7 linked regions of the Danio rerio genome follow. The protein of the gene in region 2 interacts with the protein of the main gene of each other region in a pairwise test. Links are inferred from orthologs where the notes say so. Each region holds a gene or a part of one and is shown on either strand. Other genes may lie near its edges. The genes, in order: necab2, fxr2, baz2ba, pcbd1, sytl4, RNA-binding Raly-like protein and lcp2a.

The links.
Region 1: the proteins of fxr2 (region 2) and necab2 interact in a two-hybrid assay, tested with the Homo sapiens proteins (2 studies listed by BioGRID and IntAct). The link is inferred for Danio rerio from reciprocal best matches to the Homo sapiens genes FXR2 and NECAB2.
Region 3: the proteins of fxr2 (region 2) and baz2ba interact in binary tests that used the Homo sapiens proteins (3 or more experiments, as listed by UniProt). The two-hybrid records come from large-scale screens. The link is inferred for Danio rerio from reciprocal best matches to the Homo sapiens genes FXR2 and BAZ2B.
Region 4: the proteins of fxr2 (region 2) and pcbd1 interact in binary tests that used the Homo sapiens proteins (3 or more experiments, as listed by UniProt). The link is inferred for Danio rerio from reciprocal best matches to the Homo sapiens genes FXR2 and PCBD1.
Region 5: the proteins of fxr2 (region 2) and sytl4 interact in binary tests that used the Homo sapiens proteins (3 or more experiments, as listed by UniProt). The two-hybrid records come from large-scale screens. The link is inferred for Danio rerio from reciprocal best matches to the Homo sapiens genes FXR2 and SYTL4.
Region 6: the proteins of fxr2 (region 2) and RNA-binding Raly-like protein interact in a two-hybrid assay, tested with the Homo sapiens proteins (2 studies listed by BioGRID and IntAct). The link is inferred for Danio rerio from reciprocal best matches to the Homo sapiens genes FXR2 and RALYL.
Region 7: the proteins of fxr2 (region 2) and lcp2a interact in binary tests that used the Homo sapiens proteins (3 or more experiments, as listed by UniProt). The two-hybrid records come from large-scale screens. The link is inferred for Danio rerio from reciprocal best matches to the Homo sapiens genes FXR2 and LCP2.

What each region holds. Positions count from the first base shown.
Region 1 is NC_133193.1:22,796,788-22,801,616, reverse strand, and holds the start of necab2 (N-terminal EF-hand calcium-binding protein 2), read right to left. Parts: upstream 3,328-4,829; 5' UTR 3,314-3,327; coding exon 2,996-3,313; intron 1-2,995. UniProt on the Homo sapiens protein: May act as a signaling scaffold protein that senses intracellular calcium.
Region 2 is NC_133182.1:22,740,891-22,745,698, reverse strand, and holds the end of fxr2 (fragile X mental retardation syndrome-related protein 2), read right to left. Parts: intron 4,329-4,808; coding exon 4,237-4,328; exon of another isoform or gene 4,009-4,236; intron 2,806-4,008; exon of another isoform or gene 2,491-2,805; coding exon 2,380-2,490; 3' UTR 843-2,379; downstream 1-842. UniProt on the Homo sapiens protein: mRNA-binding protein that acts as a regulator of mRNAs translation and/or stability, and which is required for adult hippocampal neurogenesis. Specifically binds to AU-rich elements (AREs) in the 3'-UTR of target mRNAs.
Region 3 is NC_133181.1:12,941,660-12,945,855, reverse strand, and holds part of baz2ba (bromodomain adjacent to zinc finger domain protein 2B), read right to left. Parts: intron 4,005-4,196; coding exon 3,860-4,004; intron 2,269-3,859; coding exon 1,511-2,268; intron 1-1,510. UniProt on the Homo sapiens protein: Regulatory subunit of the ATP-dependent BRF-1 and BRF-5 ISWI chromatin remodeling complexes, which form ordered nucleosome arrays on chromatin and facilitate access to DNA during DNA-templated processes such as DNA replication, transcription, and repair.
Region 4 is NC_133188.1:28,941,787-28,945,416, reverse strand, and holds the end of pcbd1 (pterin-4-alpha-carbinolamine dehydratase), read right to left. Parts: intron 3,004-3,630; exon of another isoform or gene 2,837-3,003; intron 2,796-2,836; exon of another isoform or gene 2,501-2,795; coding exon 2,369-2,500; intron 2,281-2,368; coding exon 2,200-2,280; intron 1,158-2,199; coding exon 1,065-1,157; 3' UTR 705-1,064; downstream 1-704. UniProt on the Homo sapiens protein: Involved in tetrahydrobiopterin biosynthesis. Seems to both prevent the formation of 7-pterins and accelerate the formation of quinonoid-BH2. Coactivator for HNF1A-dependent transcription.
Region 5 is NC_133189.1:40,027,099-40,031,294, forward strand, and holds part of sytl4 (synaptotagmin-like protein 4), read left to right. Parts: intron 1-816; exon of another isoform or gene 817-995; intron 996-1,135; 5' UTR 1,136-1,157; coding exon 1,158-1,273; intron 1,274-2,846; coding exon 2,847-3,062; intron 3,063-3,239; coding exon 3,240-3,349; intron 3,350-3,569; coding exon 3,570-3,684; intron 3,685-4,196. UniProt on the Homo sapiens protein: Modulates exocytosis of dense-core granules and secretion of hormones in the pancreas and the pituitary. Interacts with vesicles containing negatively charged phospholipids in a Ca(2+)-independent manner.
Region 6 is NC_133199.1:37,020,225-37,024,420, forward strand, and holds part of RNA-binding Raly-like protein, read right to left. Parts: intron 712-4,196; 5' UTR 705-711; coding exon 449-704; intron 1-448.
Region 7 is NC_133196.1:32,961,429-32,966,124, forward strand, and holds the start of lcp2a (lymphocyte cytosolic protein 2a), read left to right. Parts: upstream 1-1,728; 5' UTR 1,729-2,013; coding exon 2,014-2,091; intron 2,092-4,696. UniProt on the Homo sapiens protein: Adapter protein primarily involved in signaling pathways within T-cells, as well as other immune cells such as platelets, mast cells, and natural killer (NK) cells.

The sequences.
Region 1 (4,829 bases), on a different chromosome or scaffold from region 2:
GCACCTGCCTCAGATCCCATGGAAGGAGCCCTGGATCATAAAAGGAGGAACGTGGGCAGGGGAAGCCGAGAGAGGACCGGACCCGGACATATTTTACTTCTGCTTTCAGTTTGACGGCAGTCTCCGTGAGGAGCTGCCGTCCGTTTGTTTTGGTTTAGACGGCAGCCTCCTTAAGGAGCTGCCGTCACTGTCATTAATAAATCACTATAAAACTGCTTCGGTTCTCCGCCTCCTTCTTCCCGGCGGCCAAAGGGCCGTGAACTTTACATTACAGCTTTGAATCGGGGGGTTCTCAGAAACCGACCCATTGTACTAGCAGGCATATACCTGTATTGGCGGGCTTGCCAAACAGAAGCGAATTCACAGCTATGGCCTTCTGGGTAAAAAAGGTTTTCTTATATTTGACGTATTTTTTTTTTTTTTTTTTTGCTTTGTTTAATTAAAACGTTTAAATATAATAAAAAATACATATAATAATTAAACTTAATAATTATATTTTTATTATATTATATTTTTTCCTGCGCCTCCCCTGACATGCTCTGGCGCCCCCCAGGGGAGGCACGCCTCACACTTTGAAAACCCCTGATCTATCCCATCTATTAAGTTTTATTAATTAATTTTTGATGATAAAAATATAAAAAAGTAAGAATAAAGTATTGCAAACTAACTCTAACTCTTAGTGTCGATAAAAGGATCTGGAACAAATAACAAGAGAGAATGAGATGTCAGCCAAAGAAAGAAAAAGATTGACAAAGACTTTAAACGGGAGAGTGACAAATGGATTCAATTAATAGGCACTAATACGGGACTCCCATTTATACTTGCCAAGTCAATTGGATTGATTCTCCGTGCTTTGGCTCAAATCCAATCCACTGAACAAATGCCAGATATATTTGTATTTTAAAGTTCAAGTCAATAGTGCGATGAAGTCTTTAGCAAATGTCACGTGCTGCCACCATTTGATCAACTATTCTCACACATGTGCGTCCTACAGCATAAACTACTGTAATTTAGCGCACACCATTCAACCCCAGTGGAAACGAAATGTTCAAAAACATTAAATGCACTTAATTACTCCCTAAAGCCAGATGAGGTCTGGGACCAGAGGCATGATTATGTAAGAAAGCAATAGCGCGAAACACACTTATAGCCTTCTTTACGACAGCTTGTTAGTGCTCTACTGTCAGGTTTGGGGAAGCCAGGGATGCGAGCATTTGACACGCTCTGAATCTATAACTGGTCTAGCCGCTGAATCGAAGGCTTTCAGAAATGAAAATGGGGTCTTTACAATTGCATAGCTGCTTCAGACACTTTCAGAATAAACTCTAATAATGAATGGCGCTCAGCTGTTTACCAATGCAGGCTGATTCTGGAACAGACATTGCAGAAGACGTGTCAAGATTGAGATAAGTAATGGAATTCTCTCAGAAAGTATAGGGGGAAATCAATTCCCTTACAAGCAGCTGTGCTCCGTATCTTAAGTCTCGACGAGAAAATCGTGTACACATGCTCACCATCCATAAAAGACAAATTATCTACAGCACCTCATTATCTGCATAACCCCGCCTCCACTATTGTATTTACACTAGGGTGCATCTGGTGCCTTTGGCTTTTCTTTCCTGAGGTTTTTAATTAGTTTTCGTCCCCTTATATGTTCTGGTTACCTGAGACTGTATCTGGGTCTGGAACTGAACTACTTTATTATCACTCTCTTAAACGTTTTAACTTCTCCCCCTAAAAGCAATGTGGAAATCTCGAGAGGTATGTCCATCAGATAATTATCCAGCACCAATGAAGAACAATACTGAGGCAATACTTTGACCTACTAAATCAATACTGCTGAGACCTCGCCACAGCAGCCAACCACAAAGCATAACTGCCAGGCTCACAGGAAAAGCACAATAAATTATTTAGGTTCTCTGAGATAAATTCAGAGCAAAAGAAAACTGTTGTATAAGCTCAAGATGCTGAAAGGTACAGTCAAATGTATGCAGCGTTGTAGCTACTAGAGAATATTTGGTGTGTTTTATAATTGGGTTGATTTTTCTAGTGCACATTCGAGAAGCTGAACAGTATTTGGATACGGCTGGGACAGCGCGTGTGCATGCAGTTATAGAGTGCCATTGGGAGGGCTTTATCTCATCCTGAAGGGGGGTCTTTCAGCTGTAAATTATTTTACTCTTCAAAAATGGCTACTCAAATGATTTACCTTGAACAAAAACTATTTATTTAAGTTATTTTTCATTGTATTTCTAGATTTTTTGCTAAGAATGTCCATTATATAGGCGTTATTAGGACACTGCAATCATATAATAGTAATAAATTAAACAAAAACATTGAATGAAAATTTGTTTTTCTGAAATTTAGATTTAATCTTTAAACTTTCTGTCTTTCTGTGTAGCTCTTCTGCTTGCTTAGGGACTTTTAAGACTCACCATTCCATTGTTTTAGGCTTTTTGCGAATTAGACAGACACCAAATTTAATGCTAGACAATTTTTATCACCATTTGATGACCATTTAAAATCGCTCGGTGGCACTAGTTTCCGAGTGCGCGGAGAGATATGCGAAAGTAGTATGTTTCTGGTATGTTTCTATCGTCAACTATGTCCAATTAGGTTACTGTACAAAAACTGATTGCTTGCAACTAACCAATCAGAATTACAAAATCCATGTATTAAAGTATGCAAAGCATGTTAGATAACAACATGCAACTGAAATGCATAAAAGAAAGAAAAAATAAAGACAGAATTAAAAGTTAAAAGTAGATAAATTCATAAAGTGCAATTGCTTTTTGTATTCCCAAAGCATCAAAGGCTTACTAGTTGTGTATGAGTCATTAATGTCTAATTAATGCTTAAAACTCTTCTGAGGTTACTGAATTAATCAACTAATTAATGAATAAATTAGTTCATTACTTTATTCGGGAAACCGAATAAAAGTTGAACGGTCGCGCGCACTTCATATTTCATAACACAGAGAAAATGAAACACCTACATCCAAAATGACTGAGATGCCCTTTCGAGGCTCCGGCGCGAAGAACTGCTCCTGAGCCACCGCCGCCTCCTCCTTCGCGTATTCCCGGGTAGAGATGCTTTTATTGTCGCTCATCTTGGTGACTATCCAGCGGACGAGCCCGTCTATTCCACCGGGCTGTGCGCCGCTGTTTCCGGACTGTGCAGCCGTCGCTGTCTCGCTGTCCTGAGCCCCGGGTGTGGGCTGGTCTTTGCTGTCCTGTGCCCGGAGTTTTGCTTGTTCTTTGTGGAGCAGTTTGTGGACGCCGTCCCTGCAGTAGCGCGCTGCTTGTTCACACATCCTTTTGCCGCGGAGCGTTCATGCTGCGCGCTATGGGGGCGATCCCTCCCTCTGCTATGACATCAGCGGCTCCCAGCCCAAAACTCAGCCCTTCTGACACTCCAAATTGGAGCAGTTAAGTAAATGCCATGAATTTAGTACAGTTGCAGTAGAATAAGATACAATACATGAGAGAAAATGCATTATTTGCAATTTAGAGAGAGGATCAACTAAGAGAACTGATAGCAGACAATAACTTTTGAATTAATGATGGTAGTTATTTTAGTCCTGTTTTACCAAATATTCTACTTCATCTCTGTAAAGTAGCCAATTTAACGGTAGCTGTATTAAAACCCAGGAATAACCCCGCGAAAAACGAGCCAATGGTTACCCTGATTGTGATGATGGGCGTATATGATGACAGAATTTTCATTTTTAGATTAAATATCCCCTTATTTCCACTAACTTAAGAAGACACAACTGATTATATACATTCAAGTCTATATTATGCATGTGCATTATTGTTTTATGATGAAGCAAATTATTATAATTTATGGAGTATGTGTTGCTTTCAGTAAATACATTTTCAGTGATTCATACCATACTCAGAAGGTGTAAAACTCAATTCCTGGAGGGCCGAAGACCTGCACAGTTTAGTTCCAACCCTGCTCCAACACACTTACCTGTAGGTTTTAAACAAGCCTGAAGGACTCAATTAGTTTGATCAGTGTGTTTAATTAGGGTTGGAACTAAACTGTGCAGAGCTGCGGCCCTTTTGGAACTGAGTTTGACACCTGTGCCATACATTGTCAACAAATCGGCAAACTGTTACCATGTTTACCTTGTGGAAAGAAGTGAAAAGAAACACTTGAATAACTTCTAGGTTCCAAAACCTATAATTCTGAATGAAAAAAAATTTGCATCTTTTTTTAAACAAAACCCCCATTTTACCAAATGTACAAAAAACTGTGAAGTCTTTGCATTAAGTTAAAAGTTTTTGGCATACAAAAAGACAATGTTGTTAATAGTGTTCCCATTTGCTCATACTGTATCAGCAAAAATTGATATGCATGCACATGACAAAATATTTTTGTATTTTGTACACAGAAATTAAAATGGTATAGTTTTTGTAGACACTCTCTCTGAAACACAATCTGAAATGTTTGCATTTCCAGGCCCCTAAAACACTCTATTATAAAGGAATGGCAGAAATCCACAAAAAAGTTTCAGTTTTGTTGGCACCAATGGATTAGTAGTTAGTGCGTTGACATATAGCACCCATGTTTGATTCCCAGCTTAAGGTCCTTTGCCTATACTACCCCTTTCTCTGCTCCCTATGCTTTCCTGTCTTCACGATTGACCTTATTCTTAATGTACGAGCAGGTGCAGCCATTGGAACTAAAATTGTCTGTAGTGTAGGTGTGTGAATGAGAGTGTATGGGTTCCCAGTGATGGTTTGCAGCTAGAAGGGCATCCGCTGCGTAAAACACATGCTGGATAAGTTGGCCGTTCGTTCTGCTGTGGCAACCCCAGGTCA
Region 2 (4,808 bases):
TAGCATCATGGATGTGAAGCCGACAAATCTGCAGCAACTGCGTGATGCTATCATGTCAATATGGACCAAAATCTTTGAGGAATATTTCCAGTACCTTGTTAAATCTATGCCACAAAGAATTAAGGTACTTCTGAAGGCAAAAGAGGGTCCAACCCCGTACTAGTAAGGTGTACCTAAAAAAGTGGCCGGTGAGTGTAAAAGACTACATATACAGTTCAAAAAAACAACTTGTAGCCCTCTTGTGAAATATTAATCCGTTTTCAAATAATTCTCAAGTGATATCTTCTGGGGCAAAAACATTTAACAGTATATCTGATATTTTTTCTTCTGGAGTAAGTCTAATTTGTAATATTTTGACTAGAATAAAAGCAGTTTTACATTTTTTTAAACCATTCAAACGTCAATATTATCAGCCCCCTTAAGCATTATTTTTATTGTTTACAGAATAATCCACTGTTACACAATGACTTGCTTAATTAACCTAATTAAGCCTTTAATTAACAGTATCTTGAAAACTATCTGTCATCATGGCAAAGATAAAATAAATCAGTTATTAGAAAAGAGTTATTTAAACTATTGTGTTAAAAATGTGTGAAAGCTTTTCTTTAAACATAAATTGGGGAAAATAAATATAGAGGGGGGCTAATAATTCTGACTTAATCTGTGAAATGTGTCTTTTTGTGCAAGATCTTTTAACAAGCAAGTCCTAGATGAAATCATTGCTTTTTTAATACAAGTTTTAGTTTTACTAGTTTCGATGCGTTTTTATTCCCCATTCATCAATCAATCGCGTAACTGAAATCAGACGGAAATGAAAACAGAATGCAAAACACACACAGGTGTCATTCCAGAAATAATTTATTTCACTTCCTTTTTAATCTTTTTTGTTTTTTCATGATGTGGAAAGTACAACCAAAAAAGAAAAGAAAAAAAAAACAATCTTTGAGAGCAGGAACCAAGATGACAAGTAACAGCAAGGGAACAATCCTCCCCTTTTCATCGGGACAACCAGAAATACAACCAACGCTTGAACCTCCTGAGCAGAGACCCAAGCTCCATTCCTGCACACTGGAGTGTATTACAATGCTCTCGGATGTATGCATGTATGTGTGTGAACGAATGCCTGACTCTTCATCAGAAAAGGGTTTCACTGTTTACCGAAGACCAACCATACACACCAGAGGGGGCGCCGGTGAGGCCTCAACCCCATCCAGCCCTTCAGACAGCGGTGGCTGGAAGCTACCGAGAGTGTGTGTGCACACGCATGCCAGCTTTTACACTCACAATAATCCTGCCTCCCTTCTCCCCAAAACCGTATGGTGGGCTGTTGAAATACTGAATATGATCAACACTGTCTGTTAGATTGTTTCCGTCTCGGTCTTGTTCTATTGGGAAAGACTTGTGCCACCTCAATCAGAGAGATCGAATCACATTTAGGATTCTACTGTCGTCTCCTGGATCATATGACGTCCTTCCCAATTTATACACTTTTACTTCATGTCTCACAACAACACATGAACAAACAGACACACACTCGTACACACACACACACACACACACATTAAACGGCTTTCAAATAACGACCTTGGACAAATGTCATAATTTCATGTTTGGCATTAATTATCGCTCTTCTCCCCCAAAATCCGCACTCCTCTTAATCCGCACAATCCTCTCCATCCTTTAGACAAAATAAAAACACCAAAAACAAAACGGAACCATCTACTTCATCCAGTCGAGAACGCAAACGTTAAGGTAAAAAGAAAATACTCAAGTTTTTTTTTTTTTTTCAAATTCAAGGCACAATGTCTCTCCGCTTCCCCTTTTTGCCCTTAAATTCAGAGTACCACAGACTCAGCTGTCAATCACTCGTGAGAGGCTCCGCCTTCAATCCTCTCCGCTAGCTCCGCCCTCATTTAGCTAACACTGTTTTCAGAGATGCTATATCTGTTGGGGAGTGTGTTCACAATCCCACGCCAGTGAGTACAAACAAACAAACGAAAACAAATAATGACGGCAACGACAACAGCAACAACGAAAACTAAAAAAATCTAAAACGAAACCCCAAAATAGTCACGTCCTGTTTTCTGTGTTACGTCAGAAATTTGAGTCATATCCATCAGCTCATTTTTGGCAAGCTTGTCTTAAATAAGCACTAAGTACTGATAGATAGGATAAACATACACCGTTATGTGTGGTTTAAAGTAGATGCGCTCGTCGTATTTTTACTTTTTTTTTTTGTTTTCTCGTAGACTTCATGAATTCAAGGATTTTAGTCGATTTTCATTCGTCAGTTTAAAGGTTTACGTGAATGCAAGCAGGGACAGAGTTCGCCATGGTGTCTTGCTTTAGACGTGGGTCTTGAGGGGGCGAGATGACTTTTTAGGAGACGCCGTTCACCATGGCCAGAGCCTCACCGGGCGACGCCACGCCGTTACTGGGCGAGCGCTTTGAAGGAGTGCGCTCTTCCTTACTCACGCTGGTCCCGTTTTCCTGATGGAGAGAGAGATAAAACACTGTTGATGCTATGTTTTGAGTCTAATGCTAGTCAAGCTGTGCTTTAACCCAAAAGATTACTTTGAATATTTTATAATGGTGGCACAGACATTTTACTCGGCTTTCAAAAAAGCAATACTTGTAAAAGTAACAATCAGGCCAGAATGTAGCATATATAATGATATTCAGACAGACAGACACTCCCATCAACGAAGTATGAATAATCTTGTAAAGCATTAATCACAGTTTAACATTTACTATTGCGTTAAGATCCAAAATTGTGCTTGTTAACATTAGATAATGGACTGTGGGCTAACGCCTGTTTCACACCGCAAGCGTCAGCGGCGCGTGAGCAGAGCGTGCGCAGCGTGTATGTCAAGCAGTAGCAGCACGCAGGCGTTTGCCTTTCACACCAGCTGCGTCTGCAGCGCGCAGCTCTTCGGCAGCTGCTGCAGAGATCAACCTATCTCTGTCTATTCAATCTAGTTACCCATGTCTCTCCATATACAAATACACTTTTTAAACTTTTCATCTGCACCAAGGCCCCTCCTATGCTGTTTCTTTAACCTGCAAATGTTTATTTTACAAATTTTATAGATCAAATAGTACTGTCTGCTTCTTAAGCTAACTTATATGAGAAGTGTCTACAGTCAAAAGACAATTGCCTGTGATATCATGTCATTTGTTTTTTGATTATCAGGTTGCTGTAGACCTAGTTATAATAATATTTATACAATATAATTATAATGATATTTATACATGATCAAACTAGTGTTACTTTCTCTGCTTCAGTGATGTCCAGCGGCAGAATAACAGCTCGTTAATTCATGCTCGTGCAGAGGATGAGACGGACAAAAGTAACCAATGCATGCCATTCTTTTACTTATTTTCGTGTTGTCAGATTCACAGTGCAAACAGCTCCCGGTAGGAATAATCCGAGTGAACATAAAACAAAGCCGATTAAAACTTTCTTCCTCTGCTTAGCTGCACAGAACACAGCGAGCTCACATAATCCAGCATGCGTGTCGAACTACACTACCCACAATACACTTCGCTATGGACTACAAATCCCGTAAATATTCTATTTCCCCTCTCCTACAACACTAGTGTGCAACTTAAGCAAAACTGATACTAAAATTGTTTTATATTTGGTTTTGTAGTTTGGGCCTAAATAAATGTTTGTTGCCGTTTTTAATCGTTTTAAGTTAATTTGAATGACTATATATAAACCATTTGACATTATTAACACATTTATTGGGTAAAATTGCTACTTTTTACTGTCATTCAATGTGTTTTGGTCATTATCAATGCACTGTCACTTTAATTGAGCGTGAGCAGCGCGTCAAAAATAGAACCAGTGCCGAAACTATCGCTGCACTGCTGCTTCGGCGACGCTCACGCCTCGCTCTGATGCGCTGCTGCTGCGTGCGGTATGAAAGCTCTAATCTGTTAACATGGACGCCGAAAACACACGTGCTGCTCACGCTCTGCTCACGCTTGCGGTGTGAAACAGGCCTAAGACTAAAACTAACGTTAGGTAACTTTAATAACATTAACCAATGTTAGCTAAAATGTAATAAATGTATTACTTAAAGTTTTTTTCATGTTAGTAAATACATTAATTTATGAACTGTCATAGTAAATTTTTACCAAAAAAACAAAACAAAACAAAAACGTACATGCACAGTAAAGACGTTCACAATCATGCATAATTATGTGTCTTGTGTTGTAGTATGTGCAGACCTTAGGATGGGACACGTGTGGGTTGGCCTCCTTCCCCGGGAGATTCTGTCTGCTCTGGGACTCGGCACGAGAGATGAAGTCAGCAACAGTAACTATACCAACAACACCGGCAACAGTAGTCAGAAGAGGGAAAGCAGCAGGGGAGATCAAACAGGTGGACTCAAATCTTGTAGCATTGAAACAGCTCTTATAGCTGTATTCACATCTTTTAGAAGACATGACTTCATATTAACCACCCAAATTATTTACAATAATATACAACAACAGCCCAATTATATGGTCAAAATAAATTAGCTTTAAATATGATCAGAAGCAGAATCTCACCCTATCCAACCATCTGCCGACACATTTTACACATCTATACACATTTTTGGATGGGTTTTTGAATATTTAGTTATTTATTATTATATACACAAGTGTACTTCTCTTCAAGCAGCTCTGCACAATCAGGTTATATGAAGTTATAATAAATTATTAGCACTAAAACACATGGCTTTGAATTGGCATTATTTCTACACAACTGGCAACACAGAATATGATTTATGTGTATTGTGCAACTTAATATTTCCTCT
Region 3 (4,196 bases), on a different chromosome or scaffold from region 2:
ATTTGTTTTTCATACTATTGAAGTCAATAGTCACAGATTTTCAGCTTTCCTCAAATAGTTTATTTGGTGTTCAACAGAATAAAGAAACTAATAAAGGTTTAAAACCACTTAAAAGAGAGTACATTTCCATAAATGATAGAATTACATTTTTTTGTGTGAACTATCCCTTTAAGATGTGAGATATGGTCAACAGTGGAATAACAAAAATTTATTACAGATGTAATTACAAGTACATAATTGTTCAAAATGTGCACTGTATCAAATGATTCATTTAAATTTGAGTGCATAGTAACTAAGGCAACTTAAAGGGGTGGTCCAGAGTATTTTTAAGGCTGGTTGTGTTTATGGGTTGCAAAGCAATGTGTGCTAATGCTTTATTTGTAGAAAATCACACTTTTTTCATATATCTTACTTTAGTTATATACAGCTATTCAGCTAACATGAAAACGACGTCATTTTTCCTAGTTCCTCTGAAGACCTGCCCTCAAGAGGCTCTGATTGGTCAGCTAACATAATGTTCTGTGATTTGCAGATCAGCTCCACATCACCAAGAAGCGTCTCAGTTATATCATTACAGCGCCTCTGGCTACGCCCCTTCACTGTGTGGGGTGTGTGTGTGTGTGTGTGTGTGTGTAACTTGAAGGGTTTATGACATCATTAACCCGGGTGTATTTTTTGTAGTCCCCAAACTTCTTTGGCTGTAGGCTTAGCTAAGCTAACTCTGTAAAAGCCAATGTCTCCCTTTGCATTGAACTTTGAGTATATTACATTCAGAGATCTTGTTTATGCTCATACAGCTGCATTACAACAATATTACAATATCAACTAAACTTTAAAATATGATATCCTAGTGGACCACCCCTTTAAAGAAGACCAATTATGCAAATATCCCTTTTATAAGGAATGTATAAAGTTTAAACATAGTAGTGTGCAAAAAATGTGTGAAAATAGCCAGCCTTTAATGGTAAAAAATAATTAATTCTATTTTATACACCTAGACATGAATAAAAGCAGTCTGCAGAAACACTTTGATTGACATTTTCCCTTTAAACATGTCATCAGAGGGGGAAAGCTCCGCCCAGTAGTGACAATTTCTTCTTCATTAGCATAAACAGCCTTGAGTGAAAAGCAGCCATCCGCCATTAGAGTTTTCACACCTGCCGAAGGTAATGTCAGCGATTAAGAGGACTATAAATGTAGAGTTTAATAATGCACAACTCAACACTCTAGTCTCCACGGACTGCCTTTTTCAGAGCCACTTATTTTGACATTTTCACTGAGATAACAATAGTCCTGTTTTGAATCTGCTGAGAAACAGGAATTTGTAGCTCCGCCCTCTTTTGAAAAGAGCTCAATCTCATTTGAATTAAAGTGAAAGTCACCCAAACAGCACAGTTTGGATCAAAACCTAAAAATGGTGGGGGTATGTTGAGCTAAAACTTCACATACGCACAGTAGGCACATCAGAGATTTAGCATCTTGTAAAGAGGGGCATATTTGTACTAATTACCTGCACACTGAGGTTGCTGATCCCGGCTGCAGCTGTGGGGTTCAGTGGGCTTGCAGACGCAGACAGAGGAAGCAGGTGATGGTGCGGGGAAGAGGTAGACGGTGGAGGTGGAGATTTGGGCCGTGTGTTTGTGGCGTTGCTTTTAGGCGAGGACTGCGGGTGCGCAGACGGCTGGATGAGGGAAGTGTCGTCGCAGGGTGAGCGAGGCAGCAGGCTGAACCAGTGTCCGCTGCGCTCGCTGAGAACCTTGTAGAGCTGGTCGCTGGCGAGGAGCTGAGTCTGCGCCAGCTGCGGCTGCAGGAGGTGCGCAGGGATGCCTAGCTGCAGAGGCGGAGGGATTGCGTGCTCTGCGTTTGGGCTGCTGGCCTCGGTCAGCTTGGAGGTAGTTGGAGAGTGAGCTGGAGACGATCCTGATGTCATGTCCATGGCGATTGTTGCCGAGCAGCCGTTGTGGGCATGGCGTGGCGTGTGAGGTGGCTCCTGACACTGAGGGCTCTGTGAGAGGCGGAGTTCTGGTAGTTGAGGGGGTGTGGCCACAACATCTGTTTTGTCTTTTAGAGGGGAGGAGCGTGCCTCTTTATTTGGCTCCTGGTCCAGATCCATGGGCTTCTCCTCCTCCTGTTTGACCTCCTCTTTCAGTGTCCCTTGTATCTCCTCGTGCTGATGATGCTGCAGGACTTCCTCCTTGGGCTCCTCTTTGACCTGCACAACCGGACAGTTCCTCAACCTCTCGCGCTCTTTCTCTAGCTCCTCCAGACCTACATGAAGAACAGAGGGAGGAACAAAGTTTTTGTCAAATAAATGATGTAGATCTGTCAAAAATGAAATTCTGTTTATTTATGATTATTTATGTTTTTTTTAAGATTACAAAAAAGCTGAAATAAAAATAAAGTCCTGCTTGCTCTTTTCTATATAATGGTTAAAAAAAAGCCAGAATTATTAGCCCCCCATGAATAATTACCCCCCTGTTTATTTTTCCCCCCAATTTCTGTTTAACGGAGAGCAGATTTTTTCAACAAATTTCTAAACATAACAGTTTTAATAACTCATTATAAATAACTGATTTATTTTATCTTTGCCATGATGACAGAAATTAATATTTTACTAGATATTTTTAAGACATATCAGCTATACAGCTTAAAGTGACATTTAAAGGCTTAACTAGGTTAATTAGGTTAACTAGGCAGGTTATGGTAATTAGGCAAGTTATTGTATAACGATGGTTTGTTCTGTAGCTTGTATGCTTTTTATATACTGTATATACAGTAGAATAGATCATATGGTTTTTGAGACCTGAACTACATGGCAGCTTACACATGAATGTAGGTTTACCGAATGAGACTTAATTTAAATGTGTGAATGAAAATTAATTTAAATGTAAATGTGCTGCAAACGTCATGTGTAAGCATCATCTCAGGTGAGCATGGTTAAAATACATGTGAGAGATTTTCAATAACCAAGACGAGCCAGTAACTGTGAAAAAAAGCGTGACTTGAACAAGATTTTGATCAGCTTTTTTGCCGTATTTGGCATAACGGCAAAATATGCGTCTGAGCAGGAGTCTGACAGGAAGTCAGCTTATAGCCTTTATCTTTCTTGCATTATGTTGTTATGAAATAATTATCCTGCCATGAATTGATGTTTATGTACAGTGTGCTGATGGTGTATGCATTTTTTTGCACTAAATATATACGTTATTGTTACATTCTTTGCAGTATGAGCCATGATCAATGTGTTGACCGCATTTATTTTGCACTTAAAATCGCCTGTGCTGATGTTGCTTTTAACAAATTGTTTACAATCCATTCGTTGTCCACTAAAACTAGTCATTGGTAAGGTTGAATTGTTCTTGCAACGTGTTATGGGCTGTCAAACAGCATGTGTTATGTATTTCCTCCAAATCAATACAAAATTCTGGTGTGTAGCAAAATATTTCCGTCTTGTGTTTTATTGATGATTTCACCAGCGACTAGTCGACGTCGACTCGACTTTAATAACATAAAAGTCAGCTTCCAAAAATCTGCAGTTGTTCAACCCCTAATTTATATATATATATATATATATATATATATATATATATATATATATATATATATATATATATATATATATATATATATATATATATATATATACACTAACTATATATAGCTCTCAATAAGAATATAGATATATAAGGTACCTTAAAAATCTAGAGAATAAAAAAAACTAGCATTTAGATCATGAATTTGCCACAAGTGACAATCGGTCAATATTACATTTTTCATAAACACATATTTTGCATATATAAATACATACATACAATCATGGAGTATTCGTTACATGGAGTTTGTTTTGTAAAAGCCTCACCTTCTCCACTCTCTAAGGCCTCTATGTAAACTCCTCCACACTGTGGCAGGATCCAGTATCTGCGGCGGAACCGGTCTTGTCCATATGACATGGACCGCAGGGCGTGAGACGACTCAAACAGCTTCCGGCGGATTAGGTTTTGTTGCTGTACTCAGACAAAAAGAGAATGTAAGTGTGTTTGGGTGAATGTATGTGTAAATACCATAGGGTGACATGATTAAAACAAAATTACTACTACACTACACTACAGTACAGTACACTACACCACCACAACAACATCAAAATCCCAAATGTGTGATTAATTTCATAAATGTATTCTGCATGTGTCCCGGAGTGG
Region 4 (3,630 bases), on a different chromosome or scaffold from region 2:
TGGTGGTGGTTAAATATACTATGAGTTCTTTATGAGCCCTAACTCCATTGTAGCACTGTACAGCATCTGTACACTATACAGACTTGACATTTCCATAAACAATTCAAGTCATTTCAGAATTTAGCGGCTTGGAAAAGTGGTGGAATTTGCATTTTTTTGTCACATTTAAATAAATAAAGGGTCTGGTAATTACAAATGAATTGCCAAAACCTACTAAAACATATTACACTTACAAGCAGACGAATGCAGACTGCACATCATGTTAGTAGCACAATATTGCAGCTGAAGAGCTTTCCTGATCCTGCAAGTATTTTTAAATTTTTTTACACATGTATTATTGCTAAAAATTATTTTTGCAAGTACTTTTAAAGAGATGCCACTTGTTATGATTAACAATCTACGAATCATCCTGTTTGTTTACAGCCCCAAAGCAATCCTTCAGGTTCAACTTGCCCCGCTTCGAGCAGGATTCAAACCAGCATTTCTGGCAAGGGAGGTTGGTGTACTAATAGATTAAACCATAGACTATTTCTTAGCTCCATGGGAGTTCAGGTTTTCAAACATCTACCGTTCTACCTGGCATCCATTACGTGTTCTTTTCCATTTCTCTTAATGTGTTTTAAATCTGATAACAACATCGCCTTAATTGTTTAAATGACAGGCAAGTGCATTGACAGATGATACACAGATTTCAGAATCCCAGCGTTGGCAAACGTTCAGTTTAATACACTTACAATTGACTGAGGCACTAAGCAGTTATCGCTGGATTCAAATGAAGGCACTGTATATTTCACTTAAAAAAAGAAAAGATTTAACCATAAAACACAGTGATGTCAGTTTTTCAGCAATTTTCAGATCAGATCTGTGCCATATTTATACACTCAGAATGTGAAATGATTTAAGTTTACATTTCTCCTGACTTCCTTATTAAGAAAAATGCACCTGTAACAGCCAAACTACACACAGCTAAAACTGATATGCTGATAACTCCGGAAAGTTTCACAACATCGTTGGTCCAGTTTTATAGGTAAGAGGGGTTGAAGAAGTTTAATGAGAGGTTCCATTCACAGGACAGAGGCCTGGTCTATGAAGGTGGCGAGGTTGATGTCTCGCTGTGAGAGTCCTCCACATTCGTGAGTGCTGAGGGTGATCTGAACCTACCAGACAGAATACGTCAAATTTAAATTGAGCATGTTTATCTTTTCATACACATTCCTGGTCTGACAATTAATCCGCACATGTAATATAAAGGGTGAAAGTGTCTAATGCAGTCATCCTCAATCTGTGTTTGGTGTAATTAGTGGCAAAGTAACTAATTAACATAATTAAATGACTTATCCATTGATAAAGTAAAGTTGCTGGGGCAGTATGGTGGCTCAGTGATAAGCACTGTCGCCTCAACACAAGGAGGTCGCTGGATTGATTCTTGGCTGGGCCAGTAGGCATTTCTGTGTGGAGTTTGCATGTTCTCCCTATGTTCGCATGGGTTTCCCCAGTCTAAAGACATTTGCTAAGGGTGAATTGGATGAACTAATTGGCCATAGTGTTTGGGTGTGAATCAGTGTGTATGGATGTTTCCTAGTACTAGGTTGCAGCTGGAAGGGTATCTACTGTGTAAAACATATGCTGGAATAGTTGGCGGTCCATTCCTCTGTGGCGACCACTGACAATTAAAGGAGTAAGCCGAAAGAAAATAAATGAAGTAGTTTAAAAATGTAATTAATAATTTAATTACAGTTACTTATGTGTGCTCGTCTTAAATACTGTAAATAAATTAAATAGTTCTGGATAAATTAACTCAGAAAAGGTAAATAACTGTACTTTTTGTTATATAAATATATTTTGAAAAATAGTTGATCAAGATGATAATACACTTATTAAACAATTAATTAAGTGAGAAATTAATAATACATATGGTATTTATGAGAGATAGTGGTGTTTGGATACATAAGTTATTTACAATTAAATATTTGATTTAAGAAAACTAAAATGCCGTATAAATTTAAATCACGTTTAAAGAATTTAAAGAGTTTGATTTATATTGTTTTATATAGAGATTTATAATTCATGTAGAAACTGAATTACTAATTAAGTATTTGAGTAATTAAGTTACTTTTCAGACAAGGTAATTGGAAATGTCATGTAAATACAATTTTTCCATTTAAATTTACCATAAAGAAATACTACACATCTGTTTACCTTATTATACACATTAAACCATTCAGGATGATGATCCATTTTCTCAGCCTGTAAAGCAACTCTGGACATGAACCCAAAAGCCTGAAGAGAGAAACAAAAGTGAGTGTCATACATTGTGCGCACACAGTAAATAATAGTGTGAAAAGCTTCCTCTTGGCGGATTAATTACCTGGTTGAAGTCTTTGAAGATGAACTCTTTGTAAATGGCATCTCTGCCCCCCACCTCCACCCACTGCGCATTCCTCATCATGGGCAGGAGATGTTCCCGTTCCTCCATAGTCAGAGTCTGAATCTTCCCTGCCTGAGTATTTTAAAGCACTCTGGTTATTTATTTAAACCATTGTCAAATGACGATCTGCTGCAAGCCCTTTTTATTGCTTTGCATTTCTATTTGAAGATAGCCAAATAGTAATGTATATATATTTGAGCATATTTTATGATTTAAATATATGCTGAATTACAGTATTTAAAAAACAACAACGTGCAATTAGATATTTAAAAAAGAACCCTGATCAAATATTTGAGAACACTTCTGGCACCTGGTGGTAATTTTCTGAAAAACACTATTGAACTTGGAGTCAAACTGTCTAGTTTCACTAATTTGCAAGATGATTTCTCTCATACAAGTGTCTGAAACTCTCCGAAAGCAGATTGTCAGGTAAAGGCCATATGGATGAAGACTAGGGCTACACAATATATCATTTCAGCATCGATATCGCAATAGTCACATCGCATAGATATGCAATATGCATGCTTTTATTTAACTTTTATTTATGCTTTATTGCATGAATCTATGCTTGTAGTTTGTTTATTACATTTTATGCATGATTCACTGATCTGCAGAATCATCCAATCAATCAAAATGAACACATTTGATAACACTTTAGGGACTGTTATTAAAATATTGCTTATTAGTACTTATAAAGTACAAAATATGCATGATTTTTTTCTACATCCCTAACCCAATAGCTAAACTAACTCAATATCTGTTGAGAAGCAAATTATGAGCAAAAGTCATAGGTAATGGTTTGCTAATAGCGAGAATTGAACTTTAAAATAAAGTGTGACTAGAAATCCTGCTATTTAATCATTTGGTGAAATTAATTAGATACAGTATATTGCAATATACATAAAATCACAGAAACCTAAAATACCACAATATTCCATTTGTCCAATATTGTGCAGCCCTAATGAAGGCCCTTTTATTTCTAGAACATTTTAAATGTCTTTACAACTCTTTGAACTCCTTTAAAGTGTATTAGACGTTATATCTAAACAATCGTTTCTCTGGGGTAATTATGCTTAGTGGTCCAACGTGTATTTTGAAGGCTTGGTAGCGGTTATAAGATGCAAAACAATGTGTGCTCATGCTTCATTTGTAGAAAATCATGTTATTTATATATATTATCATATTATATACAGCTGCTCAGC
Region 5 (4,196 bases), on a different chromosome or scaffold from region 2:
ATTATATTACATTACATTACATTACATTACATTACATTATATTATATTGTATTATATTACACTTTTTAGTGTGCTATGCAAGCCTTGTATCTTCACTGGTTTAGAGGATTTTTGAAATTTCACTCAGAAATTAAAATTAAATGAAAATTAAATTAGCATGTTAGAATTTGTGCAGGAGAATGTGTAATTGAATAACCACTGAATACTCATGTAATAGCTCATAAAAGCCACAGCTACCACATACATAGATGACAATTTAAATATTAAAATGTATGTATTAAGTATATTATGTATTAATTTTCCTATACTGTAATTTTGCAAAAATAAATAAAGGCTGCCTTAGTGATTATATAAAATATGATTAAATTATTTTTATATCAATTTATTATTATTATTAAGAAAGAATTTTAAGTCTTAAAATGGTTTAATTTAAACAAAAGTAATTTTATAAAGCATTTATACTTTAAAATACGTATATTGTCTTGACTTTAAAGTTATTTCATTTAACTTATTCACCTTTTTTATTCACCATTTCAAAGCTTGACAGATTGAGGACTTGTTTCTTACACTTGTAACATAGGTAAACGTACTTTCAGCCATCTATGATTTCCAGTAATAAAAAGCAAACATAAAGATTAAAGTTAATATGCCTATATTTGATTTATGTGGTAGATGCAGGTGTGGGAATATCTCTGTTTTCCTACTGTGATATTGCCATTGCCTGCCATTGCTAACCAGCACATTTGCATGTTGAGCTGCATGTCACAGGGCGTCACTGTGTGCTTGTTTAATTACTAGAGGATCTTCTGACATACTGACAGACACTGCATGGAGAAACCGAGAAAGGTCACTCCCCTTATTTGTCAGTTCTGCTCCAGGTCTCTACCCATTTTACAAACAGCAGAGCTTCCTTTTATTTGTGTAGCGCTCGTTATATAGATATTACTGTCTTCCCTTCATTTGTAAGAAACAAATGACCTGTTCTTCCCAGTTTGGTGAGCTTCTGTATTTATTATATGTCTGTAAAGTAAGTGTTACGTGTGGTTCTACAAGTTTCTTTAATTTGCGTTTGTGTTGACACTTATTATGTTGGCTTAATGCATGCTGAGCTGTTTGTTTGATTTTTATTCCTCAGAAGCAGGGCTTGACTGTTGAAGATGGTGCAGAACATGGAGATCAACGTGTCCTTTCTGACTGACTCGGAGCAAGAGTTTATACTAGAAGTCCTCCGGCGGGACGAAGATTTGAGGCATTTGGAGGACCTGCGTGTGAAGTGAGTTTCACAGCTCAATCAGTCTGTATTATTAAAACTTTATTATTAAAAATAAATGATGTCAACTTACATGGTTACATTAAAACTTAAAATGTCAGGTTAAATCTTGATGAACTTGTGTTAATAAATAAAAGTAAATTAAAACATAAGTTGTCATTATGTGTTTATCATTTAATTTTACAGTGTTAAAATAATTTTTGATCTTAAAATAACCCTTAATTAATGATTACTTAAATATTGCTTACTTATCTCTGCTTAATTTGTGGAATTTATGGTAGTAGTAATAACAATATTAAATATTTATTTCAGTTAGATACATGAATAAAGAAATTATTTTCTCTCCAGTGAAACTTTAATACTTTTTTCAAATGTCTTCCAAGTGATGTAACAGACCGAAGAAACTATATTACACTATATTTTATTATAGTTTTTTTCTGGATATACAGTGTTTCAGATAATTGAGTACACGCCTTTTTGAAAATGAATATTTGTATCCATTTCTCAGTGAATATAGGCAATGTATTTTGGTGTATTTAAGCAAAACAGATTTATTGAACAGATATATTTATTGAAATAATATTTTAGTCACCAAACATATTTAGAAATTAAAAGAATACTATTAAATTCAAGCAAAATATTGCAAAATAATTACAACCTGCACAATTTCAACTAAATGTTTCAATTTTTTTGCTTCTGTTGATTTTTCCTCTTGTTTTTTAAAATTTGTATTTAATATTTTTCGATAACATAAATTTGGCTGTACTAGTTTTTGGACTGTTATTGTATGTTATTTTGGTAGATAAGCTCCAAATTTGGCTTCAGTACTGACTAATCTAATGTATATGCAGAAATATAATATTGTATAGCATCCTAAAGAAAATATTAATTCAAAAGATTTGTGAGGGCCTGAGCACTATGGATGGATGGACAGATGGATGGACAGTTAGATAGATGGATGGATGGATGGATGGATGGATGGATGGATGGATGGATGGATGGATAGATAGATAGATAGATAGATAGATAGATAGATAGATAGATAGATAGATAGATAGATAGATAGATAGATAGATAGATAGATAGATAGATAGATAGATAGATAGATAGATAGATAGATAGATAGAACCTATTTAAGCCTTTCACTTTAAGATTGCACTTTAAGCTGAATACTAGTATCTTGCAAAATGACTAGAAAAATATCAGATACTGCCGTACTAGTAAAGGCACTATGAATTGGTTATTAGAAATTAATTACTAAAACTTATATATATAAAAATATTTTGAAAGTAATTTTCTCTCTGTCTCTTATATATTTAAAAAATAATTAAAAAATGTTTAGAATGGCTAATAATTTTGTCTTCAGCTGTATATATAAAAAACTTAACAAAATCAACGCAATATAATTTAGTTGAATATTTATTTTTTAGAAATCAGTCACATTATTTAGGGCTCAGACTCAATTTTATACAGACCCAATTTTGTAGTTTTTGTACTATTTTTGGGTTTAAGAAAAGGATGTTGGTCACTCAAATAATTTTGTGTATTAATTATATGCTCGCTTATGTTCCCATAGGAAGCTGAAAGCCGAGTTTCTGGATATCAGAAGAAAGGGTGCAAAACGTGGCAGTGGGAAATACAGTGAACGCAGCTGTGGCCGCTGCCAGGAGCCCTTGAGCCTTCTAAGCGGCAGCGGCAGCCAGTGCAGATCATGCAAACATCAAGTCTGCAAAAAATGCCAATCTGTTCGACCCAATGGATCATGGGTGTGCACAGTGTGTGCCAAAGAAATGTGAGTGTGCACCCCATGGCTCCCAGCATCCCGCTCTTTGGCCTCAGTCTATTTAGAAACCTATCATTAAGAGGCACATTAGGCTGGAAAATGAGGCCCATGCTTAATGGAAAAAGTTAATGTTCAACAAAAGTTTTTTATTATTCTTCCCTCTCTCTCTCTCTCTCTCTCTCTCAGAGACCTGAAGATGAGCACTGGAGACTGGTTCTTTGACGAGAGGGTTAACCGCTTCTCTTCAGCTCCTGGACATGACTTAGTGCGAGTGTCCCTCAGGAAGAGGCCTCTGAGTGAGTGCAGGAAGCTAGACGGTCTGATGAACTATGTGCAATGTGAACTAACTTCAACTTTCTGTTTTTACAAGGGGTGGAAAGCAGATTTTTTTTTGTGTGTGAACAGGAGAAAAGAATGAGTCCTCTGTTTACTTGAGGGTTAAATGGCTGGCAGTTTGTTTAGATTAATCATTATACACCACTTCCCCATTCTGAAATTTACATCTCTCTGTTCCAGGTAAAAAGCATGAGACAGCTGGGGAAATACTGTTAAACAAAGTTGAGCTGAATCCCAGCCAAGCTGCGCCTGTGCCCAAACCAAGACTAAAGGACATTGCACTTGCCAATAAGAGGTGTGTAATGTAGTCTTATGTTGATACTGATCAAACATTGAAATGTGCTTCATTTAAATATTGACCACTTTTTATCATCTCGTGGATGATTTTATCATATCACTTTGCTCTATTAATATCCACACAGTTCTGTGTTAAAGAGATAGTTTTCCCAAAAAGCTAATTCTTTTAATATTTATTAAACATTATATCATTGCAAATGCACACAAATATTTAGAGAAACTTAACAGGTCTTTGCTGTACCACAATCATGTCCACAGACATTAAGCTGCAGTAGGTGAAGGTTTTACTTAATATTGTTTGATTACATACAAAATTAAATAGATTTAAGAATTTTAACACCCAAGCTGTTTAATTTAAGGGCCTATCAACTAATATATTCTACAAGACATAAGGAAAAATAACAGCATATAAACTCACTGCCCACTTGACATAAATCGCCTGATGCTCGATTTGAGCTGAAAGCCTTTACTGTGTCTACATGTCTGCTGCCATGTGATTTACTGATTATA
Region 6 (4,196 bases), on a different chromosome or scaffold from region 2:
AAACAATGACAGGATTTTTATTTTGAGGTGAAATAACCTTTTAAAACACTGTGAAACAAATGCAGTGGAAGTAAAAAGATAACAGATTTCCAGCATTCCTCAAAATATCTTCTTTAGTGTTCAATAGAAGAAAGAAACTAATCAAACATTGACAAGATTTTTTATTTTTTAGATGAACTATTTAATACACTATTGTGAGATTAGGTGTGTTTTCATGAAGGAAAAAATAAAGACCAAAGAAAAAAAAAACTCCCCAAGAGTTTCCATTATCCATATGTATTATTTATAACACCTTTATTATTTGAAGTGAATAGCTTAACTTGTTTTGAATGGAAGCTCCCTAAACAGGAAGGGAATCCATAATTTGATACACGGTCATCATGTGCAGAAAAAGGTAGATTAATTAAAGCACCAGCTTTAATAAAAGAAAAGAAAACCAGGCACTCACCCAGCGGCTGTCCTGCGATTATCCTGGCGTTTTCTCCAGCTACGGCGGCCCTTGCGTTCCTTTCGCTAATGTACTGGACGAAAGCGTAACCCTTGTGCACCGAACAGCCCACGATCTTGCCGTACTTGGCGAAGATGACCTCGATGTCGCTCTTCTTCACGATGGCGGTGTTGAGGTTGCCGATAAAGACCCGAGAGTTGAGGGAGCGCGGGTCGTTCTTGTTAGTGACATTGCTGGTCTGAGTCTTGCCGGTCATTATTCTCCTGCGAAGCACAGACATGATGGGGACGACATCAAACACACCTGATACAGATAATGTTTTTATATGTGGATATTTTAATCCAAAAGTCTGATGCAAACTGGTTATGCTAAAGCAGGGGTCACCAACTTTAATGATTTTGAGAGCTACTTATTGGGTATTATTATGAATGTGGAGGGCTACCAGTTTGATAAACACTTCTCAAATAACACATTTGCTCAATTTACTTTTAATTATACTTTATGTATTTGATAATAATTAATGATATTCATCCATGTGAAGACACTGATCGTGTTAATGATTCTCACAAAAGTTATCAGCAATGATTTAACAGGGTAGGAAATACCCTGTATTTAATGTTGGTGACCCCTGTGCTAAAGGGTCAAGGTGTCTGCATCAAAATACATGTGTAAAAAGGGAATATGTGAAGTAGGAAAGCTAGGATCTACTTTATTGTTTCTTAAATGTAGATTTTGTGAAAATAAGATGTCAAAATATGTGTAAAATTAGGCATTATTGATATATTTATTTTTACAACAGTTCTGTCTGTTTCTCAAATCTGATTGGCTGATAGCAGTGTGGTATTCTGCAATAACAGCACTTATACAGCCACCTCATCCTTCTGTATTACTCCGCCCACAGTGAGTGACAGCAGATCAATGAATTCACTACAGCTTGACAAATATTACAGCTGTTGGACAACATAATGTACTTTTAATGATTTTTATGTGAGAATGTAGTTGTATAAATTGCAACTATGCAGTTTATTTATAAGGATAGTGCCTATTTTAAATAGTTATCATTTCTGAGATTTATAACGTCTGCATCCATCAGCCTATCATACTGAGCAGAGCAAAGTTGGTTGATGTTTTGCTACAAGATAGTGACAGAGACTGTATAATAAGCCCTTAGAGCAGGTTCCCAACAGGGGGGTCGCAGCCCTCAAGGGGGCCTCAGTGAGCTTTGTGGGGGGTTGTGTCATATTAAAAAAAAAAAAAATCTTAGAAGTGGACAATTAGGAGAATGATCATGTTGTCTTAGTTAATTTTATTTTATAGCTCAGTGGTTCTCAACCACCGGTCCTAGAATCAGTTGGTAGCGGGCCGCACAAGAAATCATTCATTATTTCTTTTTTGTTTATAATCTGAGTCTGAACAATCTTTTATTTAAAAGAGAGGTCTTTTACTTTGAAAAATTACCGTATTCTCTCGCCCAAATTTAACCCACAAGCAGCAAAATGAGTAATGTCGAGTTCAGACTGCATGATTTTCAAAGTAGTCGTGTCACATATGTTTTCACACTGCATGACTATCTGGGCTCGTGTTTCGTCGCTGCTTTGTTTACACTGCAAGATGGATCAGCGATAGGGGTTTTCACATTGCAAGACTTTACTATAGGAAGAATCGCCGACAACTTCGTCTAAACAACGTCTGACAGCCAAAAAGACATAGTATATCTTTTGTTATTAACTACATAACGAGAAAGAAGCCATTAATGGGGTAGAAAATGTACATATTGGCTCACCTGGGTTTGAAGGGAATTAGCCATTTCTCCTCAACTTAAGTTGACAATAAATTAATTTCATATAATTAATTTAAATAAATAAATTAACTTTTTTTAACTTTCTGTCAGTCTGAACTAGGCATAAGAAACAGACTTCTTTAGAAAGTTTCTTTGCTAAGAGAAAAGGGCCCGCAAACAGCCAAGGAATAGATCTGCAACCCACTTGTCAACAATCAGGCGAATCCACCATGTCTGTGCAAGAAGATCATCTGATGGAGATCACAAATGCCAACTTATCCAGCATACGTTTTACACTGTGGATGCCCTTCCAACTGTAACCCATCTCTGGGAAAAATTAGGCTATTATTTGTGCATAAACATATGTAGATATAGTAATAATCATACCGTTTGTTTGAAAACAATATTTTTTTGTCATCATTACTGCAAACTTATATGAGCGATTATGTCATTAAATGTGGAGGGGGGCTTTACTATATTTTCCGGAGAAAAAGGGGCTCTCAGGCAAAAAAAAAAAAAGGTTGGGATCCACTGCCTTAGAGGACAAAAAATAAGCATAATTTAAAACTACAACTGATTAAATCATTACAAAACAGGTAAGTGACTTTCTGGTAGTGTTTCTGGTAGTGCTTGCTTTGCTTTGGCTTGTTTCAGGGTTAAATAGGGACATCACGACTGCAACAAAGAAACACAGGGAAAGCTCTATAAACTGATGGCATTTCATGCTGTTCAGCTTCATAATCTTAAAATATGAGAAAAATCTGCTGTTTTGTCATCACTTTAGGTATTAAGCTAGATAATCATTCAAACACTAGCTCTAAAGTGGCGTTTGTGAAGCAGCAACAGTTTCAGCTGTTCAGACGTCAGTTGCAGATGTGAATGAATGGTGGAAGAAAGTAGTTCCTCATACAAAAGGGTTTTTAGACTCTCAGTGTTTGATTTTCTTTTTTATATGCACGATTATGCCGTCGAACTGTTGTATAAATGCAATATCACCCAAGTAGCAGTGCAATGTAGCTGTATTGTGGTGGGACACAATGCACACCTCCCACCTGTGACAATATACAGCCAGATCGCACTGCTCCTCGTGTGATATTGCTCATGTAAAGATGAAACCAAATACTTATTCTGACCTGTACTTCAAATATAAAACAGAATGAATGATTACACACTGTCACCCACAAACACACATGTACACACACAAATAAAAATCTTGCTGCCTTTTTTGTTGTTTATTCAAGTAAACTTTTCTAGTCATCTCAAACTGCGTCAGTTAAAAATACTTTAACTTATTTATATTTATATTTATACTTATATAAATTTACTGATATAAAGTATATAAAATTTACTTGTAAAAAATACTTATATAAATTTATATTTATACTTATACTTATTTATATTTAACTTTATATATACAATATTTAACAAAAAAGAAAGTAAACCCGATTAACTGATTAAATTAGGTAACAAAAATATTTGTTGTCATTCGTTTTTATCTTATCATTTTTTACTTTTATCAAAATCCAAGAGGTTGCCAACTTCCTGCTGGCAAGTGTTAAAAATCTAGGCTTTAAAAGAAAGCGGTATAGTATAAATGAGAATTAATTACTGCATGAATTTCACTATTGTAAAATATTATTCCAACATGATGAGTTCTACAAAAGCAAATAGTGTAAAACAGGCAAGTTTATCAGTCATTTTTAAAAGGCAGTTTCCCTATGGAGAACATAAATGGAGGTTTTACTCCCAGTTACGCTCTATTTAAACTCTCCACCAAAACCGGAGCAAACTTTCTGGAGCAAAAATGCTCACAGTATGTACATCGACCCTGACTCAACCTTCACATCTTATAAAGATTTTGGGATAAGATACTGTACTGTTTTCTTATCACGATGAAAGAACAGCAATTGCAGAGATAACCAAAATTAAATTGCCGTCTTATGATATATATACCTTGATTCTTAAAAA
Region 7 (4,696 bases), on a different chromosome or scaffold from region 2:
TTTTTCCCCCAATTTTTGTTTAACGGAGAGCAGATTTTTTCAGCACATTTCTAAACATAATAATTTTAATAACTCATTTCTAATTACTGATTTATTTTATCTCTGCCATAATGACAGTAAATGATATTTAACTAGATATTTTTAAGACACTTTTAAACAGTCTAAAGTGACATTTAAAGGCTTAACTAGGTTAATTAGGTTAACTAGGCGGTTAAGGTAATTAGGCAAGTTATTGTATAAAGTTGGTTTGTTCTGTAGACTATTGAAATAATATATAGCTTAAAGGGGCTTAGACTTTTAAATGCTTTTTAAAAAACTGTTTTTATCCTAGCCGAAATAAAACAAATAAGACTTTCTCCAGAAGAACAAATATTATCAGACATACTGTGAAAATTTCCTTGCTCTGTTAAACATTATTTGGGAAATATAAAAAAAAAAAAAAAATCAAATGGGGGCTAATAATTCTGACTTAACTAACTGTACATATATTTATTATATATTTGCTATTGTGTATATATTTGTAAATTTTGTTGAAATGTGTACATCAATAAAAAGCTATATATTTTTAAGCAAATTAAGCTTATAACCAAAAGACTATTACACAGTAAACAAACAAACATGTTTTTATATTAATTTAACACAAAATGCGTTAATCAATCACGTTTTAACATTTCAATTATCTGAGATTCAAATTGATGTTTTATGTCAGTTGTCTTTCTTGTAACATAAGTTTAAATGACTTGTAAATTTAAAATCAAACCAAAAGTGCTCAGGCGTAGCTTAAATAATGTGTCGGTGATCTTTGGGTAAGGGATTCATCAGAAGAAACTGCAAAAGTCACTCCAAAGCACTTGAAAAATGTGAAAAAAAATTATAAAAAATGGTTTTAAAATATTTTTTTTCACTTTTTTCAAGCACTTATTTTTACAACTTGAAAATTTTATTTGATTCAACAAGTCAGCATCTAATTCTTTAAAGTGACTAGTAAGATGTCAAACACACAATTTGTTCTTAATTGTCCATCTGTGTTATTATATTACTATCATTGTTCATATTACTATACTGCCTGTTTATTATAAAGCACATATTAATGTCTTATTCCAGTCTTATTTAGATCCCTTGTTAAAAAAAAAAAAAAAAAAAAAAGAAGTGGTTACAGAATATTCACTTTCAAAAATGTTGGGTTCCACACAATTCCTTCATGTTGTCTCAACACAAATCGGTCAAGCTAACTTGAAAGTTTGTACAAATTTATCTGGATTGAACATAAAACAATTAAGTTGTTTCACAAAAAAATCCTTAAGAATTGTGTCGTTTCAACCCATTTCAAATAAGTAGTTTAAACAAACAGCAAAAGTCCTTTTCTAAATGTTTCGTTGAGTTGAATTAACCTTACAAGCCAACTTGCATTGCATTAAATTGATGTAAAGCAGCTCTTATGACTTAAAAAATAAGTCGAAACATGCTTAACTTATTTTAGTGAGTTACACATAACAACATAAAATAAAAATTAAAAGTTGTAATAAAAAGTTTATTTTCTTACAGTGTACGCATGTTAAGACAACCTTTCATATCATGAATAAGTGACAATCAGGCGGTTATTGAAGGGGAAAACTCTTATTGGTGAACACATGTAATATTAAGATTTTTTTTTTTTTGTGAAGGGGCTGTACTTCCCCTATTTGTCAAAACAATCATTAACAGGAAGTCTATGGGGAAGTGGATGTCATTCTTTCTTTTCATACTCAGCTCAGGCAAATCCGGGGTGTTGGGTTTTTTCGTGTTTTCAGAAAATGTCGGTTGAATTTTGAGTAATTTCTTTAATTTCTGGATCGGCAACTGGGTGATTCTGTCATTATTTGGCTTTCTTTGGTTTGTTTTTTTAGAGCTGACACGTTTGTCTCCTCGTGTTCGGTGTCAGACGAAGTGTGAACTCAATCTGAGAGTGGTTGCTTTTTTTTTTTTTTGGATGCTTGTAGGCATTTAGGATTTTATATTCATCAGTGAAAAACAATGAGTTTTGGAAGTTTGCCGTCCAAAGCCGAGGTTCTGAACTGGGATTCACATAGCTTGGCAGACTTTTTGAAGAAGGTACTGTAGGTTACTTTCTCTTTTTGTGTCTTTCAATTGTGTAACTTTAGAATTAAATTGTACAATGAAATGGGTTGAAATGTAAAAATATTGTTGTGTAATCGGTTGTTGTTTAATAGATGTTCAGTTCAGATATTCTGTCATAGATGTTTAGCTTGTATCGACTTGGTCAGCACATACAGCATGCTTTTAAAGATATTTACCACATTTATTCATTATTTTTTGGATGTTGGATTTATACACACACGATAAGTATATAGATTCAATAAAATGGAATTCAGTAAATGTATGTCTTTTTATAGGCATTCACTAAATGTAGATGATCTATAAATACTGTATTCAGTAAATATATAGGGCCTTTTAGAGACATTCAGTAAATATTTGGTCTTTTAGAGACATTTAGTAAATATATAGGGTCTTTTATATATATATATATATATATATATATATATATATATATATATATATATATATATATATATATATATATATATATATATATATATGTAAATATATTGGCCCTTTTATAGACATCCAGTATATAAATATATATATGGTCTTTTAAAGACATTTAGTAAATATTAATGGTCTTATATATATTCAATAAATATATAGGGCTTTTTAGAGACATTCAGTAAATATAGATGGTCTTATAGATATATTCAGTAAATATGATCTCATATATATATAAGCAAAATCACACGAGTAGTGTGCTATGGCTGTACATCAGCACTGGTGGGAGGCGTGCGTTGGCACAAGGCCGCAGGCCGAGTGCCTTAGCGCCCCACCAGTGCTGATATACAGCCATAGCACATTACTCGTGTGATTTTGCGTTTATAGCACAGTTCGACGACAAAATCTTGTACATAAAAACGAAAATCAAACACAAGAGTCTAAAACCCTTTTGTATTAGTAACTATTTTCTTCCGCCATTCATTCACATCTGCAGCTGATGTCAGAACAGCAGAAGCCATTACTAATTCACCAACGTCACTTTAGAGCTAGCATTTGATTGATTCTCTATAGCGTAATGGGAAGCAGCGCTTCTGGTGTGTGACCCCACTTAAGGTGATGACAAAACAGCAAATTTTGCTCACATTTTAAGATTATAAGGCTAAACGTGACATGAAATGTCATCAGTCTACAGAGATTTCTCACCAGACTGCTGTTGTGTTTGCGATAAGGAGGAACAAGGCTGAATCCAGCTTCTTATTCGCAGCTTCTTATTAACTCTATCCGGTCCATCTTAAAAACCATAAGGCTTCAGTTTTTCAGCTTTTTATATGCGCTCAAGAGAACACACTGAGAAAGGGCTTATTATGCGGTTCTGGCGCCATCTTGTAGATAGACAACGTCAACCGTCTTTGGCTGCTGACGAGGTCTCAAAAATTGTAAATATTTTAAAATAGGCACTATTATTACAAATAAACTGCATAGTTGCAATCTAAACAACTACATTCTCGACTAAAAAAGCCTCAAAAGTACATATTGTTGTCTAACAACAGTAATATTTGTCAAACTGTAGCCTGCTTGTTGCTTGCTGTAAGGGCGGAGTAATACACAGAGGTGAAGGGTGAAGAGGCCTCTGTGTGATGTTACTGGCAAAATATCGCATGGATATTAGCCAAACAGATTCAAGAACCAGACAGAACTGTTGTTTAAATGAATATATACTAATGAATACATACACATACAGTAAATGTATAGGGCCTTTTATAAACATTCAGTAAAAATAGAAAATATTCTTTCCTCTGGAGAAAGTCTCATTTGTTTTATTTCAGCTAGAATAAAAGCAGTTTTTATTTGTTTATGAACCATTTTAAGGTCAATATTATTAGCCCCTTTAAGCTATATATATTTTTAATAGTCTACTGAACAAACCATTGTTATACAATAACTTGCTTTAATTACCCTAACCTGCCTAGTTAACCTAATTAACCAAGTTAAACCTTTAAAAGTCCCTTTAAGCTGTATAGAAGTATCTTGAAGAATATCTAAATATTGTGTACTGTCATCATGGCAGAGATAAAATAAATCAGTTTTAAGAAACAAGTTATTAAAACTATTATTAGAAATGTGTTGAGAAAGTCTTCTCTCCATTAAAAAGAAATTGGGGAAAAAATAAACACAGAGGCTAATAGTTCAGGGGGGCTAATAATTCTGACTTCAACTGTATATTCAGTAAATATTTAGGGCATTTTAGAGACATTTAATACATATACATTGTCTTTTTTTAGACAGGTCTTTTAAACCTTCTTTAGATAATCTTTTATTGGAATTCAATACATACATATGTTTTTTTTTTATTGGTCATGATGACCTTTAATAGACAATTGGTAAATATAGACTTTCTTTCTAATAGATATCCAGTACATATATTTTGATTACTTATTTTTATTTTTTATATTTTTAGTAGATATTTTTTTATATACATTTACAGATGTTAAGCACATTTGGGCATATTTATGTGACATTTAGCACATAGACTCTTAAAATGCAGTTCTTATTCAACCCAAATATGGACAAACCAAACAATTGTCCATATCTGGCTCACATTTGTGCTGAAACAACTTTTTAGAGTGTACAGTAACTGTTTTCTAGACAT